Linked DNA regions of Caenorhabditis elegans. The protein of the gene in region 1 interacts with the protein of each later gene in a pairwise test. Each region holds a gene or a part of one and is shown in the gene's direction. Other genes may lie near its edges. The genes, in order: mfsd-13.2 and Y57A10A.8.

Region 1 (7,655 bases):
CAATTTATAATATTTCATACAAATTATAATTTTAGAATTCTGATAAGCCAGATGCGAGAAGTAGTTCATTTGGTTGCAATGAAGCCGCATTCAAATTGTGAATTCCTATTGAAAGTTGTCCGCAATTGGGCCGAAACGCATAACGTTAATATCATCAATTAAATGTGATAATGTATTTCTGAATAAACTGGTTTCTTACTTCATTCCGCTTTGACCCATTTACCCGGTTACCAGTTGTTGTTGTTCTATACGAGAAAACCCGCTTATCAGTCAGAGATAAAGTTGGAAGGCTTTAGTATAAAAGTATTATCCGAACACAGAAACTTCAGTCGTCAGCTGAACATGAAGATTGACAAAGAAGACGATCAGCAGCAACAGATGCGCAGAGTCGCATTCTTTGCGGTTGCTGTCTCAACTGCAGCCGTCATTTCAAGGTAATTAAAAACTTCACTCTTCAGATTATCTAAACTTTGAATTTTCAGCATCGTGACTCTCCCAATGATCTACTCTTACGTTCAATCTTTCCAATCCCATTTGATCATGGAAACCGAGTTCTGTAAAACTCGTGCTCGTGATATGTGGGTTGAGATGCAAGTTCTCCACAAGTCAGGTGTCACCCGTAGCCGCAGAGATGCTGGATACAAGGAGGGATCTGGCAGTGGTGGATCTGGAAGTGGTGGATATGGAGGACCAACTGGAGCTGGAGCCGATATTGGACCAACTTGCTGCCCATGTCAACAGGGACCAGCTGGACCACCGGGACCAGCAGGAGATACTGGACCAAACGGAAATGATGGACATCACGGAGCTCCAGGAGTTCCAGGAAAGGAAGGATCCATTCTCAGCTCTGCACTTCCACCATCAGAGCCATGCATCATCTGCCCACCAGGCCCACAAGGAGCCGTTGGACAACAAGGACCAAAGGGACCACCAGGACCAAAGGGTAAATCTCAAGAGAGAGCTGCCGACGGAAAGAACGGAGAACCTGGAATGATTGGACCCCCAGGACCACCAGGAGGTGTTGGAGAGCCAGGACCACCAGGACCAGCTGGACAACCAGGAAGAGTTATTCAAGTAAACGGAGCTGCTGGACCAGCAGGACCACGTGGAGTCAAGGGGCCACCAGGACCAAAGGGACTTCCAGGAATTGCTGGGCTTACCGAAATCGGAGGACAAGGACCACCAGGAGATGCTGGAGGCCCAGGACCAGTTGGAGGACAAGGACCACCAGGACCACAAGGACCACAAGGACCACCAGGAGATGAAGGATCTTGCGATCACTGCCCAGAGCCACGTACCCCACCAGGCTATTAGACCACCAAGGTCTCGCCGTGAATCTGATTCCGGTGCTTTTGCTGTATGCTGTTCTGCCTTCTTCATTTTTAATTTATTGTTTTATTTAAATTGCTCATTTATGTTTTTCTTTGTTGTTTGGCTGACGACTCAACCCAAGCTCGACTCAAATAAACGCTCGCTCGAAATTCTTTGGTTCTCAATTCGATCAGTACACAATTTTATTTATTGTGTTTTCAAGTACTCAAAACAAAAGTCCTAATAGCGGGGGATTGTAGTTTATAGTGTTTATCGAATTTAATAAAATATCCAAAATAACAACACAGAAAAGTTACAATTGCAATTAATGTTATCGCTGCAGTTTGACATGGAAAAACGATGATGATAAATTGTGGAACAGGAGATTTGCAAAGCGTATATTCCTCCATGAGAACTTATTTGGCAGTTTTGGTATATTATTTGTATGTTCTTAGAATGAAAATTCAGAATTTGAATTTACGATTTCAAAATACTGTTAGAGTATGCTTAAAGTTATAGGTTTCCTATCTACGAACTTGAAATCAGTTCTTAAATATTTGACCACTAACGTGTAAAATACAATCTACACTCCAAATAACTTTTGTAGTTTGTGTTATTTCTGTGTCGATTACATATTTCCTGAACAATTTTGAACCGTGAACACAAAATCGAAGTGACAGGAGGTGGAGTCGATGTAATCACGCATTAAATTTTAATATTCCAATTGGTGAAAAGATAAGAAAGTCAAAAATTGCCTAACCCTGTCGTTTTATACTGATAATGAAAAAACTAAATATTTATTTTTGTTCCTACTTTACCCTTTTTGAATGATCATGGTTCATCTAAACTACGCTTTTTTTTCAAAAAAAAATTGAGTCACATTATAGTCGGTTACACCAAAATACGTAGTCTCCCGCCCTTCCTAGTTTTGTTTTAAATATCCAAATCCCTTTGGATTTTAATCGATCTCAAATACGTAAAAACCGTATTTGATCTGAAACTTTTGGAATTTTATTTTATTAACTGGCAATTCCGTCATGACCCAAATTCGTTCGGTACGTTTTGTAGTCAAAGCTATACGCAATACGGTCTCACTACATCGGTATGGATGTAAACGTTTTCAGGAATTTAATTTTGCTTCAATATCCAACAGAAATTTAATTTTCACAACATTTTCGAAATTTGGCAATATATGGAAATTTTCTGGTCTTCTTCATGTTTTTTAATACCGTATTACGGCCGTAAAACATAATTTCTTAAAATACTTTAAAATAAGTCAGAAAAATAAAATCAGTGAAAAAATCTAGATATGTCGCAAAGGAATCAGTACCAGTTTTCAAAATTCTGATTTGTTAGTCCATTGTGGCTGTTTGGAAATAGAATTTTAGGCAATCAACAATTACCGGAAGTTTTTCAGCAATTTGCCATTTATATTTTTGCCAAATTTTTTGTAAACTGCTAGATTTTTCCTTTCGCTGAAAAAAAGCATGGCAATTCATTAGCCGATTTTGGCAAGCCGTAAGAATTGCAATTTTCGGCAATTGAAAATATTACAGCCATCCACCAATCATTTTTTTTCCAGTCTATCAATGTTCCTGGTGTTCGGTATAGTCAGCATTCATTATTTATGCGAAAACAGCTTTTAAGTGCACCCAATCTCTGAGGCATTGTTTTTGAATAACTAAAACTTCCATATAAATGTTACTGCCTGTATTTTTCTGTCAAAAAATTCGGTTATCAGCCAAAAAATGAAGTGGATGAATAAAATCGTGCGTTTTGTTTTATTTTCAGCTTTCTGCACTGTCTACAATTAAATATCGTTGTTTTTCTTTCAGGAAAGCATGGGTCTTCTCCATATGCCAACATTAAACCTTGTTCTAACTGTCGTTGGTGCTGGATTCATATTGTCAATTCAAAGTTTATATTACATAAAGGTGAGAGAACTATTGTCTATCTATCAAACAAAAATAATTCGTGTCTTCCAAAAAAAATGAAAAAAAAAACTGTAAAATTGAGAGTGCGGGAGGGGATAAAATATGGTTGCCATGTCATGAAGAGAACTGTAGAATCAGAAGAGATAGAGATAGAGACGTGTTTGTTTTGTTGTGTCTATTCATTTGATACGGACTCAACTAGAAACATTCTGAAGAAAAAGAAGAAGACGAACGGAGATAGGTGAAGAATAAATATCGATAAGTGATGGTCTCATTTACTTTTCTTCTTAGTTATTCTGCTCTTTTGATCGGACTTATTTCATTTGCTGCTGATTCAATTAACTATGTATTCACATCCAAATATATCCAGGTTACTTACAATATAAAATTCATTTTCATTTACTCTTGATAAAAAAATCAGAATGAGAACTGTCACAAGAAATTATTCGCACCAAATTTCAGTGGAGCTTATGTACAAGCGTTAAAAAAACATTTTTCATATACCGTATATCCTCTATTAGTAAGGCGTGCAAAACTAATTTTCGGACACCTAATTTGATGCAAAACTAATAGAGGCGCCTTACTAATAGAGGATGTACGGTAAGCTGTTCAATCTAATTTTTTATTCATATTCTATATTGATTATGTTATCAATGGGTGGTTATCGCCTATGATTTTATGATCTATGTTATAGGCTCCATCGCTTCAAATAATTATTTCAAATAATTTCAGGTATTTTTCGATGAATTCCATCTACCACCGTCGTATCTCAAAGTTGTGCAAATTCTGTTTCTGGTATGGAATGCTGTAAATGATCCAATGATGGGCTATATGCAGGTAATATTATTTGCAGTATTTATGTATATTGATTTTAAATTCTGTAATTGCAGGATTTGGGATTTTGTGGCATGAAATGGATTATGGATCGAAGGAAGGTTGTCCTCTACGCGGGACCCGTTTTTGCAGCTTCTTTTCTGCTTTTTTGGTTTCCATGGTCAACGTGAGTGAATGAATTTTTATTTTTTGATAAGAACATCATGGTCTATCAACGGAAACTATTAAAAAACATGACATAAAAAGTACAGAGCATAATATTTGGTTAGGTGAAGAGACAGGGAAGTGTTCACAGATTATGTAAAAATTTAACAGAAATTCGGTTTCGATACACAACAGTGGGAATTTGAATTAAAATGTACTTAGTCTGAACTATCACTCCGAACAATAATGGGCTCAATTGTATAAAAATGATGAAATCTGAATCAATAAACATTGGAAACTTTCTGACAGATAGGATGTTTAATGTTCAGAGTTTGTATAAGTGCCAGTACAACTTTCCAGTAAAGTTAAATGGAAATTTTATATAATTTGAAAAAATGAAAAAAATTATCTGACATCCAATGTTTTAGAACTATTGTTATGTCATTTCATTTAAGGTTCACATGAATAAACTAAAATTCAGAAGCTCTTTGATTTCAGATCAATTGGATGGGTAACAGCTCTTCACCTTCTTGTTTCTCTATTCATTTATGATACTCTACTCACTTTGGTTCTATCTGCATATTGTGGATTATGTGTCGAGAATTCAAGAAGTCATGAAGATCGAGTACGAGTTATTGTATACGGGGAAATCTTTACAATTGTCGCCGGACTTCTCATTTATCCATTGGAAACTATGCCACATACAAATGAACATTATTGGCTTTTCCAGCTATGTTGTGTTGTTATTGCGTGTATTTCAGCTGCATTAATGGCTTTCTCTGGATATCATTTGAAAGTTGAAAGACCAATTAACGAAGATCATCAATTGGAAAAGTTTCAAGAGGTTAGTGAAAAACAATATTGTTTTTCTACAAATAACTAGTTTAGGGTGAAGTAGTGAAAGAAACAAAACAAGATGGATGGAAGAACGCCCTGACAGTTTCTTTGCAAATTGCAAAAGAACCAAGATTCATTTGCCTTGTTGGAGCTCAATTCTTTAGAATTCTCCGATTTATTGCAAATGAAAACTTTTTGATTGTATTCACAGAGGGACTTCTTGTAAATAATGGTTTCTTTGAGAAAAACTCAGGATCACTTGGATTATTTTACGTTCTTGCACGATCCAGTGGAAGTGTGAGTAGATTCTTCTTGATCTGTGAACATGATCAGTTTCAGATATTATTCCTGCTTCTCTGGGTTCCAACAAATCGATTTGGAACTCAAGCAGTTATTCAATCTCTCAATATTTTATCTATTTTCAATGTTATTTTTATTCTCTACGCCGGTGTGAATAATATCACAGCAATTGCAATTTTTATTATTTTGGAAAAGTAAGTTTTTCGAAACTTTGGTAGAGCACTTTGGTAGAGCGGCGAAAAATTTTTCAAAAAGCCGTTTTGAGAAATTTCCGCAATTTCTGTTGGTTTGAATTTCTATAATTTTTGAACATGAACGATTGAAACGCAATTTACAAATAAAAATCCGTAGAACAACGTATTTTTTGGCCAACTATCTAAATTTTGGTTGGGGAAAACTAAGTTTCTTGACTTATCAGCTGCAAAAAATCCATGAGATTTTTAAAATTGGAACTTTGGTATTACTTTTGTACTATAGAACCGGTGTTTAACATTTTCCGCACTGACAATTTTTGTAGTAATTTTTCCAAATTTTCAGCGCAATTTCTCGTTGTGGGTGGCAAGGATTCTACATAGTTGTTGCTGGAGAAGTTGTTGATACTGATATGAAAACAAATAATAGAAAGTTTGTTTCAATATTTTCTCTACATTAAAAAATCAATTTATACTTCAGAACACCATTCTCAACAATCATTTTCACTTTGAAAGCTCTTTTCAACAAACCAGCTGATCAACTAGCGCCTGTTTTCGTTCTCTCATTATTTTTAGAACGAGGTGGATACCCACAATTAACTGTTCCCTGCCAACAATTTTATGAAGATAATTATTCAAATTCAACAATGTTCAATTCTACATCTATGGAAAGCACCACGTTGTCTGGGTTTGTATGCGTTTTGTATTTTCCAAAAACTAATATATAATTATATAATTTATTCAGATATCCGACAGTAGCAGAATGCACTAATTATTCACAATGGATGTTCTTGGCTCTTGCAATTTTCCCTGCAATCTGTGCAATTGGAGAGTCAATGTTTGTTGCATTTGATCAATATTGGAGAAGGCATATCAAAGGAAAGACTGGTCATTTGGGAGATGACTAAATTTTTAATTTCATATTTTCTTGATCTCAATATACATTTTTAGTTGTAAATAAATTATCAAAAAAATAAATAACGAAAATCTCTAAATGATAGGAACCTAACTGAAAAAAGTGTTTATTACGGTAGTTGTGAATGGTGACAGTAAAATAGCTATACTAATTGATTCATGATGGCATAGAATTGAAAAAAAATCTGGTCAATTACAAAAAAACGGATTGAATTAATTCGCGATATATAAAGTATAAACGCTGAAAACTCAATTAACTGATTTCTCCGAATAATGTTTAAAAAATGCCGAATTATCCTTTTTGTTTCAGAAATGCAATCACAAATTGTAAAGTTGATGTCGCCTTGTATTTTGAGTTCAACTTATTGAAAAAAAATCTTTAGCATCTTTAGATTTGAAGTTATGCTTTACTTTGATAGCTCGACTTTTTTGCAATAGTTATCACAAATTTACTTTCCGTTTTACATTTTTGTTATAATTTTTAGAGTTGTGTTTTTTGCATCCAAAATGATCGACAGTCATTCATGGGTCGGCTCGCCACATTTTAGGGTGGCTCTGAAAAAGTCTTAAATATGCATATAAAACTATCGATTCCAGGTAAATTGCATCAAAATCCAATACAAATTCAAATTCCCCTTCTAAACGTGTAATCTTATTGTTAATGGAAAAGTTTGGGAATATCATGCATAGCAACTGAATCTATTTGGAGATGTATTTTACAAAAAAAAGCTAATGCTCAAGTGACACACAAAAACCGACTGTTTCCTTCATGGAATGTAGATTTGGTCAATTATTACTAAACAACGCTCCGACTGGAGATATAATGATGAATTAAGTAACAGGCGGGTCAACACCATATATACAGGTACAATGCGCAACTGTCGATGACTCTCCTTTCCTTCTAACCGTGTGCATTGTCTCCTTATTTTCAGCTGCCCGAGAGACTGTACGTACGAAACTGCTCTAATATTTTTTTACAGGATTTGCAATGTGTTTAACGGTGAGTTGAGTTTTCCTCCTTTCATCTTTCATTTGGCATTTCAGAACTTTGACCCAATTAACGCTGTGTTTGATAATGAAATAATTCTGGACAAGATTTTGAACAATGTATCGAAAGATGTTTTTCCCTTGATACCGTTAAGGGTATGGATTTGTATTTCGAGTTCAACTTGTTGAAGAAAATATTCAA
Region 2 (10,125 bases), 5.0 Mb from region 1:
AGCAGAAAATCAAAGAGTCGATTAGAACTGATAATGATAAGGTAGACAGTACTAATAAAAATAAAAATTTGAAATTCTATATTTTCAGTTCCTGCAAATCACCGACATTTGTACAGTACTGCAGGCATTTTTCTTCGGAATCAGTCGCAAATTCAGATTAGCCGCGGCCGCTTCTAATTCCCCAGCTATGAAGATGAAGGATTTCCTGGTCAAATTCAAGTTATTTCTTCTCGGATTGGATTCCTCCGAGCTTCTAGAGCTTCAGCAGAAGGTTCAAGAAAATATTGATGAGCAAACGGAATTGGCAGAGAAGGTTTTTAGAAGTCGTCAGAAATTAATTATATTAACAATAAAAATTGCAGGTTCTTCCGATCAGCGACGTTCGTCAATCTCTCCAAAACCTGCTCTCCACAATTTCTCAATATTAAATTATTTAAATTTTGTTGAATTTTTTGTTGAAAAAACAGGGTTTTCACCTTGTTTTCTTGTTCTTTTTTGTTTTAATAATATTTAATTTTCATTATTTTAACGCTCTTCTTTTTTTATTCAAGTTTAATTTTACCTTATGAAATATTTAATTTTTAAAAAAATGTCTTAATAACAGATATTACCTAAATGCAAAATTTTGTAGAATGAGGAGTACTGTAGTTTCAACTGTATTTTTAAAGGCGCACATTATTTTTTACTGGGTTCCTAAATTTTGTCGTGTCGAGACCGTCAAAACTTACAAAGTTTTGTGCAAAATAAAATTCGGTGAAAATTGAATGTTCGCATTACAAAACTGGCGTTCTCAAAATTTTCAAAATTATCAGAATTTCCAATATTAAACTGCAGAATTTTTTTGCCTAAGAGATCATAAATTTTTATGATTTTTTTCCAATTGAGGAAAAAAGAGCAAATTCGACAATTTTCCGAAAATAAAAATATACGATGCACCATGTTAGACACAGCTGGCAGATGAGAGACGTCAGAGAAAAAGGGGACGCGTGTCTGCGTCTCTCATAGGCGATAGACAGGCTAGAAGGGTTCTGTTTTGTGATTTTCTTACTGGGGTTCTTTTCAATTTATTAAAGATTTGTTTAAAAACGTATGCAATTCCTGAAATATTTAAATTTTTCTGAAAAATCGAATTCTTCAAGATTTTTTAGGATTTTATTTGAATTTGTTGAATATAAAAATGTGCTTTAGGCATCATATTCAGAAAATGAATAATTTTTTTAAATTATTTATTTATTAGTTTTTTTCTAATTTGTATTGATTTTCTAAATTAAAAAAAAACCAAGCTACCACATTTTTTATTTTTCAAGAATATACATATTACGCTAACACAAAATTCTGAAAATGCGTATTGCACAACATATTTGACGCGCAAAATATCTCGTAGCGAAAACTACAGTAATTCTTTATAAAGCTACTGTAGCGTGTTTGTGTCGATTTACGGGCTAGAATGGATATTTAAATTTATTTATTTCTCGATAAAATATGAAAATTAAGCTAAAATTTAGAAAATAATGCCGAGAAACGAAAATAAATAAAGTATTACTGTAGTTTTCGCTACGAGATATTTTGCGCGTCAAATATGTTGTGCAATACGCATTCTCAGAATTTTGTGTTCCTCTAAATATGTTCTGATTTTTAAAAATTTCCCTACATTTTTATTCTTCGGCTATTAGGTCTCCAAATAAGTTCCGGGTCAAAAATCATAACTTCTTTCGCCTTTTATCGATTTTTTTGAAACTGTGGGAATTTATGTTATCAACTATGATCTTTCATTTTGATATGGTCACAAAAAATTTTGACCACCCGGAGTGCCCTAACTCGAAGCCAATTTTTTCAAGCATTTTTCTGATCTCGCTTCTTTGCAGCTTTGAATTGAGGTTTATGTGCGGACTTTGCTTTGTTTAGAATACATTGTAAGAAAACAAAAAAAGTTTGGAAAAAAATCCGTCCAAAAATTTTTTTTTGGTCGGTGGTCAAAAAATTTTTTATTTTTTTTCAAAACTTTTTTTTTCGAAAATTCTTGATTTTTTATACAAAAATGATGTAGTCATGTGTGAACTATTTTTACAAATACAAAACATTTTAACTAAGTTCGTCACACTCAAATGATAATAGAAAACATAATTTTTTCGAAGAATTTTTGAGTTTTTTGAGTATTTCTCGAGATCCAAATTTCAAACTCAAATGTTTTGTATGTATAAAAACCGTTTACACATGGTTACATCATTTTTATACTAAAAATCAAAAACTTTCGAAAAAAATTTTTTTTGAAGTTTTTTTGACGACCGACCAAAAAAAATTTTTTGGACGGATTTTTTTCCAAACTTTTGTTGATTTCTTACGATGTATTCTAAACAAAGTAAAATCCGCACACAAACCTTAGTTCAAAGCTGCAAAGAAGCGAGATCAGAAAAATGCCTGAAAAATATGGCTTCGAGTTAGGGCACTCCGGGTGGTCAAAAAATTTTGTGACCATTTCAAAATGAAAGGTCATAGTTGATAACATAAATTCCCAAAGTTTCAAAAAAATCTATAAAAGGCAAAAAAAGTTATGATTTTTGACCCGGAACTTATTTGGAGACCTAATATTTTCTGAAATTCTTGCAGACTTCACAATGAACGCTGACACTGCCGATGAGGAAATCACGAAACTTTTAGAATTTCTCATTGAACAGACGAAAGATGCATTTGAGCCGATGAGAGCGTTGGCGGTTTTTGAATCATTCGGTCAACTTGAAGAGGATCCGTTAGACCGGAAAACCTATCATTATAGGTGAATAAACTGGGCTGAAAATTGTTTTTTGCGAAAGAAGAAATATTTTCAAAAAAAAAAAGAAAAGAAATAATAGTAATTTTCTTTTAAAAAAATGACACCTAGAATTGTAACTTACCAACAAAAAAAAATCATTTTTCGCTATTCTAGTTTATTTGGCAAATATGTTTTTCTTAAAAAATATTAAAAATACGAAAAAAATTCGATTTTGTTTTCTTCAAAAGTTAGACGTTTTTTTCAAAATATAATAATTAATTAAGGTTTCATCAGAAGATTGCTCCGAATATGGATTCATGGAACAATTATAGTATCGAATCGAGAATTCGATTGATGTTCGCATTGGCTGGAAGAGTTCGGGATAATTTTCTAGAGAGGTGAAAAAAAATTATTTTGAACTTTTTTAATTTAAAAACACCTCAAAAGAGGTTTTTTTCAATAATTGAAAGAAAAAAATTCAAAAAAACCACATTTTGCAACAAAAATTGAATTTTTCGTCGAAATTGAAAAAAAAAATGTCTATAAAAATTAATTCAAAATTTTCTGGAAAAAAGTAAATGAAATAATTTTTTGCAATTATTTTATAACAAAAATTCAGTATAATAATTTTTTTGTGTGCTCCTGATCCTGAATATCAATGTGAAAAAATTCCAAAAAATTTCCCTGATTTTATATTAATTTTTTTTAATCCGAAAATTTATTGATTTGTTAAATTCAAGCGACAAATTTTGACTGATAACCGTGCCGCAGGTGTGTGGATTTACGAGATTAAGATTTTTAATCCATTTTTATTTAATTTTCATACCTATTTTCCCGATTTTTATCTTTTTTTCGTTGTTTTACATTGAAAATCTTCGATTTCTATTAATTTATAAATTTTTATTAATGAAAATCACAAGAATTTCAATGTAAAACGACGAAAAAACGAGAAAAATTGGAGAAATTGGTATGAAAATTAAATAAAAATGAATTAAAAATATTAATCTCGTAAATTCACACAACTGCCGCACAGTTATCAGACAGAATTTGTCGTTTGAATTTAACAAACCAATGGATTTTCGGATTTTAAAAAATTAATTAAAAATCTGGGAAATTTTTTTGGAGCTTCAGAAATTCATTTCAAAATGTGCTTCCAGAATGCAAATTTTCAGGCAAATAAATTAGGAAAAAATTTTTTTTCAATTATTTCCAATTTTCAGCATCCAATCACAAGGAACCGTCGAACTTGATGAGAAAAATCGAATTTGCGAATATATCTCAAATGATGGAACATTGACGTTAAAAGGAGATCACAGTGATTCTGCAAGATGGGCTAGAAGAATCACTTCCACCACGAACCCCACAAAATCCGCTGCTTTTGCCGAAAAATTCATGAATTTCTTGGTCGAAAAAACCAAAAATGTCGTTGAGCCCGTTTCGGTTGGTGGAATTTATGAGGAATTCAGTCAAATTGATGGTTTTGGACTTTCGCCAGCCGCCTATCGTACCAGGTGAGACACCAGAGATCAAGGGATTTTATGGGGTTATTCATGTGATGACGAAAAATGAAAAAAATGTAAATTTTTATAAATTTTTCCTCTATGTGTAGAAAAATATTTTTTTTAAATATGCATTTTTCTACACATGTGAATAGGGAAAAATGCATAAAAATACATTTTTGCATTTTTCGTCAACACATGAATAACACCCCAATATTTCGAAAATTTCGAATTCCAATATTTTTTGAAACAAAAACGAAATATTATACTACATTCTAAAAATGCGTATTGCACAACATATTTGACGCGCAAAATATTTCGTAGCGAAAACTACAGCAGTATCTCTTTAAAAGACTACTGTAGAGCTTTGTGTCGATTTACGGGATCTCGATTTTCGATTATAATTGAATTTCGTAAATCGACACAAACGCTACAGTAGTCATTTAAACAGATACTGTAGTTTTCGCTATGAGATATTTTGCGCGTCAAATATGTTGTGCAATACGCATTCTCAGAATTTTGTGTTCTCGTAATACATTTTTTAAAAAAAGAAATTCGCTTTTTTTAGGATTTTCTAAAATTAAAAAAAAATCAATCAATTTTTCTTCCAGATTCCACATAAATATTGTGCCGGAGATCAATGAATGGAACAGCTACAGTATCGAAGAACGAATTCGATTGTTAATGGCGTTAGGTGCACTGGTACCGGAAGATTTTCTAGAGAGGTATTAGGAAATTCGGAGAATGCGTATTGCACAACATATTTGACGCGCAAAATATCTCGTAGCGAAAACTACAGTAATTCTTTAGATGACTACTGTAGCGCTTGTGTCGATTTACGGGCTCGTTTTTCGCCACTTTTGTGTGCTTTTTAATTATATCAATTTATAAACGGTTTCCGTAAATCGACACAGTAGTCATTTAAAGAATTACTGTAGTTTTCGCTACGAGATATTTTTCAAATATGTTGTGCAATACTTGATCACCTAAATTTGACATCTTATCATCTGAAAAGGTGTCGTTTTTATAGGTGAAGTACCGAAATCTGGAAAATATTTTAAAATTGGAAATTTTCTAGAAAAAAAATACGTGGCCGTGGAAAATATCAGAAAACTCGGCCACCGACTTTTTTCCAAAATTTTTCTTTTTTTTTTAAATATTATATGGAATTTTCTTTAACACAACATTATTGAGTTAATTTCCAGAATTGAAGCGGAAGGAACTGTAGATCTTGATGAAAAGGGAAGAATTCTCAAATATAGCTCAAATGATGGAAATTTGAATCTCGACAAACGTAATATTGCAACAGCAAATAGAAGAAATAGTACAGCAGCACATCGAAAAAGAAGTTTGGATCGTGATTCTGAAAGCGGTAGTGCGAAAAATGCGAGAGCTGTGAAATCTGAGCCAAAAAGGTTTTTAATTTCCTCAATTAAAATGGTTTTTCGATTTTTCGATTTTTTTACAAGAATTTAAATTTAAAAAAAACGCAAATTCGTTTTGAAGAAGAAAAAAACCAAAATATTTTCAAAAAAAAAGCTTAAGATTTTGCAAATTTTTATTATATTTTACTCAGGCATGAAATATTTAATTTTTGCGCTAAAAATACGGTCTCGACACGACAAACAATTAAAAAAAAAATTTTCCTTCAAAGAGTACGGTAATTTCAACTCTAGGTAGTTTCATAATTCTTCAATAAAATGTTTTTTTCATTTTTTTTTGTTGATTTATTAATTCAAAAATTTCAGTTTTAAATTACGGTACTCTTTAAAGGCGCACGCCTTTTTTGCATTTCACAACAAAACAATTATCGTGGCGAGACCAATATAAAATGAAATCATTTAAAAAATCGATTTTTCTTTTCAAAAACTGTCGAATTTCAATTTTTGTGTCAAAAAATACGGTGCTCGGTCTCGAAAAGACAAAAAAAAAACAAATTTTTGTAAAATGCGGAAAGATGTGCGCCTTTAAAGAGTACTGTAATTTCACTTTTTGAGGAATTTTCATAATTTTTCGATTAAAAAAAAACGAATTTATTCACACAAAAGTTTGAATAAAACAATATACAGTACTCTTTAAAGGCGCACATCCTTTTGCATTTTACAAAAATTATCGTGGCGAGACCGGCGAAAAAAAAACTCAACGTTTCGTGTCTGAGTAATAAAAAAGAAAATTTTTGAAAAATCTAATTTTTTTTGAACGAAAATTACCAATTCTCATAGTTTTTTTAAAAAATAAATTAATGTTTAACACAAAATGCTGAATTTTCAAAAATTCAAATTTTTTGAAATTTCAAAAAGTGTGTTTTTTTATTTTCAAAAATTCAATTTTTTTTTTATTTTTAAAATTTCACGGCGTTCTGGCCTTCCTCATTGAATTTTTCGCGCTCCATTGACAATCGCCCGCCGGACAACGCGTGGGAAAGTGTCGTGTACTCCACACGGATAAATACATTTAGTTTTACAACTGAAATAGAGCCGCGACGCGACACGCAACGCGCCGTAAATCTACCCCAGATATGGCCGAGCCAAAATGGCCTAGTTTGGCCTAAACCCTTCCATTTCAATTTATGAGGGAACCCAGAAATCCATGATAATCTTAAACAAAAAAATGTTGAAATTTCAAAAATCAAATTTTCTTTAAAATTCAAATTTTTCTCGTAATTTTCCAGTAAGCCCCAATCGGATCTTCATTATTCATCTGAAAGTGACACTGATGACGTGGAATTCGTTGAATCACTGCCAGGAAAACCGAAACTTGAACCCATTGATTACGACTACGACCAATATTTTAATAGAGATGTATCATATAATAATTATGATCAAGAAGAAGTTGAAAATCGAAATGTCAGATTATCGATTGCTAGCTCAATGCCTTCACTGGAGTCGAATGTTATTAAATTGAATGATTTCCTGAAAGAAGTTCGCAAATTCCTGTGCTTTCTCGAAATTTCGGAACTCGACGAGCTCAAGCATCAGATCAAAGAATCGGTTGTTCAGACTGCTGGCGCTAATGAGGTAGCAAAGATTAGAGTATTTTCATTAGATTTGTTCAATTTTTTTTGGAAAAAAGGATTAGGCTTAAGATTAGGCTTAGGCTTAGGATAAGGCTTAGGCTTAGGCCTAGGCTTAGTTTTAGGCTTAATATTAGGCTTAGGCTTAGGCTAAGGATTAGGCTTACAGTTAGAACTAGGCCTAGAGTTAGTCTTAGGATTAAGATTAGAACTAGGCCTAGAGTTAGTCTTAGGATTAGGCTTAGAACTAGGCCTAGACTTAGGATTAGGCCTAGGCTTAGGCTTAGGCTTTGGCTTAGGCTGAGGCTTAGGCTTATGTTTAGTATTACACTTAGGCTTAAGCTTGGCGTCAGTGGTGAGCTCGCTACTGACGCTATTTAGGCTTAGGATTTTCCGGTTTTTTTGATTTTTAAGGGGGTTCCAGTTGGCCGATTAGGATTAGGCTTAGGCTTAAGCTTAGGCTTAAGCTTAGGCTTAAGCTTAGGCTTAAGCTTAGGCTTAAGCTTAGGCTTAAGCTTAGGTTAGGCTTAATCTTAGCTTAGGCTTAATCTTGGACTTTAGGCTTAGGCTTAGAATTAGGCTTACAGGCTTACAGGCTTACAGGCAGGCAAGCCATCTTGAAATATTTTTTTGAGAAAATGTTTAAAACTGTAAAATTAAAAAAAAATTTCGACCAAAAAAGGACAATTTTTAACTGCAAAATAAAATTATAACTTTCTTGAATTTTTTTTTGAAAATCATAATTTTTTGAACCGCTAATAGTAAAAAAAAAACCAAAATTTGTTTTTAATTTAAAAAAAAAGTAGATTTTTTCAGAATCTGGAAATCAGCGATCTTTGTACATTACTCGATGCATTCTTCTTCTCGATCAATCAAAAAACCAGATCAACTATTCCAAATGATTCCACTATGCCGGTCAATGTATTCCTCATCAAATTCAAATGCTTCCTCCTTGGAATGGAATCTCCTGAATTTCTAGATCTTCAGGAGAAGGTTCAAAGGAAGCTTGACGAGTCGGATATCACGGAAAAGGTTTTGAAATTTCAACGAAAGATTGTTTTTTTTTATTTGAAATTGTTTCAGATTCTTCAACTGAGCGACATCCAACACGCTGTACAATATCTGTTCTTTTCTGTTTCTCATTAATTAATATGTTTTTTCTTGAATATTTCTGTTTTGCACGATATCCTGTTTATCCTCCACTTTTTCGATCTCTTTTTCTCACGAGTTTCCAATTTTTGTTACAAGGTCATGAATCTGTTAATTTTTTAAAATTTTTTTTAATTGACATAAAAATTAAGACGTCATCGGAAAATATTGTTATATGCGTTCTAGAGGGCTGAAGTAGAAAAAATTTTGTTTTGAGTATTAAAGTAGTTTTTTTTTGGACAAAAACATTTTTTTGAAATCATACCAAACCACTAAAAATTGAAATATGGCAATTTTTTGAGTTTTTGAGTAAATTTCGAGTCCTCTTACTACAAAATAGCCCATTTTAGAGGACTTTCGAAATTGTGAATTTTTGCCATAAATTGCCCAATTTTGCCACTTTTTAATTGTTTTTGACGGGTTAAACTTAGATTTTCTGAATTCAGCATATATGGTTTACCCTTTTTCAACAAATTTAGGCAATTTTTTATTTTTGCCCAATTTTTTCAGACATCTAATTACTGCCCTTCTTTGGGCAAAAAAAATTTTTTTGAATTTTCACAAAACTATTATAAATTGAAAAAGGGCAATTTTTCACGGTTCGGAGATAAATTTTGAGTCCTCTAACTACACTGTAGTATCATAACCAAACTACAGTAGCACTGTAGTACCATAACCAAACTACAGTAGTACTGTAGTACCATAACCCAAACTACAGTAGCACTGTAGTACCATAACCAAACTACAGTAGTACTGTAGTACCATAATCAAACTACAGTAGTACTTTTGTTACCCTAATCAAACTTCAGTAGTATTGTAGTACCATAACCAAACTACAGTAGCACTGTAGTACCATAACCAAACTACAGTAGTACTGTAGTACCATAATCAAACTACAGTAGTACTTTTGTTACCCTAATCAAACTTCAGTAGTATTGTAGTACCATAACCAAACTATAGTAGTACTGTAGTACCATAATCAAACTACAGTAGTACTTTTGTTACCCTAATCAAACTTCAGTAGTATTGTAGTACCATAACCAAACTACAGTAGCACTGTAGTACCATAACCAAACTACAGTAGTACTGTAGTACCATAACCAAACTACAGTAGTACTGTAGTACCATAATCAAACTACAGTAGTACTTTGTTACCCTAATCAAACTTCAGTAGTACTGTAGTACCATAACCAAACTACAGTAGCACTGTAGTACCATAATCAAACTACAGTAGTACTTTTGTTACCCTAATCAAACTTCAGTAGTAATGTAGTACCATAACCAAACTACAGTAGCACTGTAGTACCATAACCAAACTACAGTAGTACTGTAGTACCATAACCAAACTACAGTAGTACTTTGTTACCCTAATCAAACTTCAGTAGTATTGTAGTACCATAACCAAACTACAGTAGCACTGTAGTACCATAACCAAACTACAGTAGTACTGTAGTACCATAACCAAACTACAGTAGTACTTTGTTACCCTAATCAAACTTCAGTAGTATTGTAGTACCATAACCAAACTACAGTAGCACTGTAGTACCATAACCAAACTACAGTAGTACTGTAGTACCATAATCAAACTACAGTAGTACTTTGTTACCATAACCAAACTACAGTAGTACTGTAGTACCATTTCAAAATTACAGTAGTACTGTAGTCCCCCCTGAAACACTTCCCCGTTCCAAAATTCCTATCACTTATCCCTCTTA

Evidence for each region.
Region 2: the proteins of mfsd-13.2 (region 1) and Y57A10A.8 interact in a two-hybrid assay, tested with the Caenorhabditis elegans proteins (one large-scale study listed by BioGRID).

What each region holds. Positions count from the first base shown.
Region 1 is NC_003280.10:7,161,335-7,168,989, reverse strand, and holds mfsd-13.2 (Transmembrane protein 180), read left to right. Parts: upstream 1-3,410; 5' UTR 3,411-3,510; coding exon 3,511-3,615; intron 3,616-3,977; coding exon 3,978-4,082; intron 4,083-4,135; coding exon 4,136-4,245; intron 4,246-4,721; coding exon 4,722-5,067; intron 5,068-5,111; coding exon 5,112-5,357; intron 5,358-5,399; coding exon 5,400-5,554; intron 5,555-5,897; coding exon 5,898-5,984; intron 5,985-6,032; coding exon 6,033-6,239; intron 6,240-6,296; coding exon 6,297-6,459; 3' UTR 6,460-6,547; downstream 6,548-7,655. Other genes in the region: dyf-13 (Intraflagellar transport protein 56 homolog), read left to right, coding at 36-162; col-36 (Cuticle collagen 36), read left to right, coding at 343-434, 483-1,314; C27H5.12 (Ferrochelatase), read left to right, coding at 7,455-7,466, 7,511-7,642.
Region 2 is NC_003280.10:12,162,232-12,172,356, forward strand, and holds Y57A10A.8 (SPK domain-containing protein), read left to right. Parts: upstream 1-2,607; 5' UTR 2,608-2,615; coding exon 2,616-2,773; intron 2,774-3,033; coding exon 3,034-3,147; intron 3,148-3,969; coding exon 3,970-4,260; intron 4,261-4,859; coding exon 4,860-4,973; intron 4,974-5,453; coding exon 5,454-5,663; intron 5,664-6,919; coding exon 6,920-7,265; intron 7,266-8,077; coding exon 8,078-8,293; intron 8,294-8,344; coding exon 8,345-8,407; 3' UTR 8,408-8,531; downstream 8,532-10,125.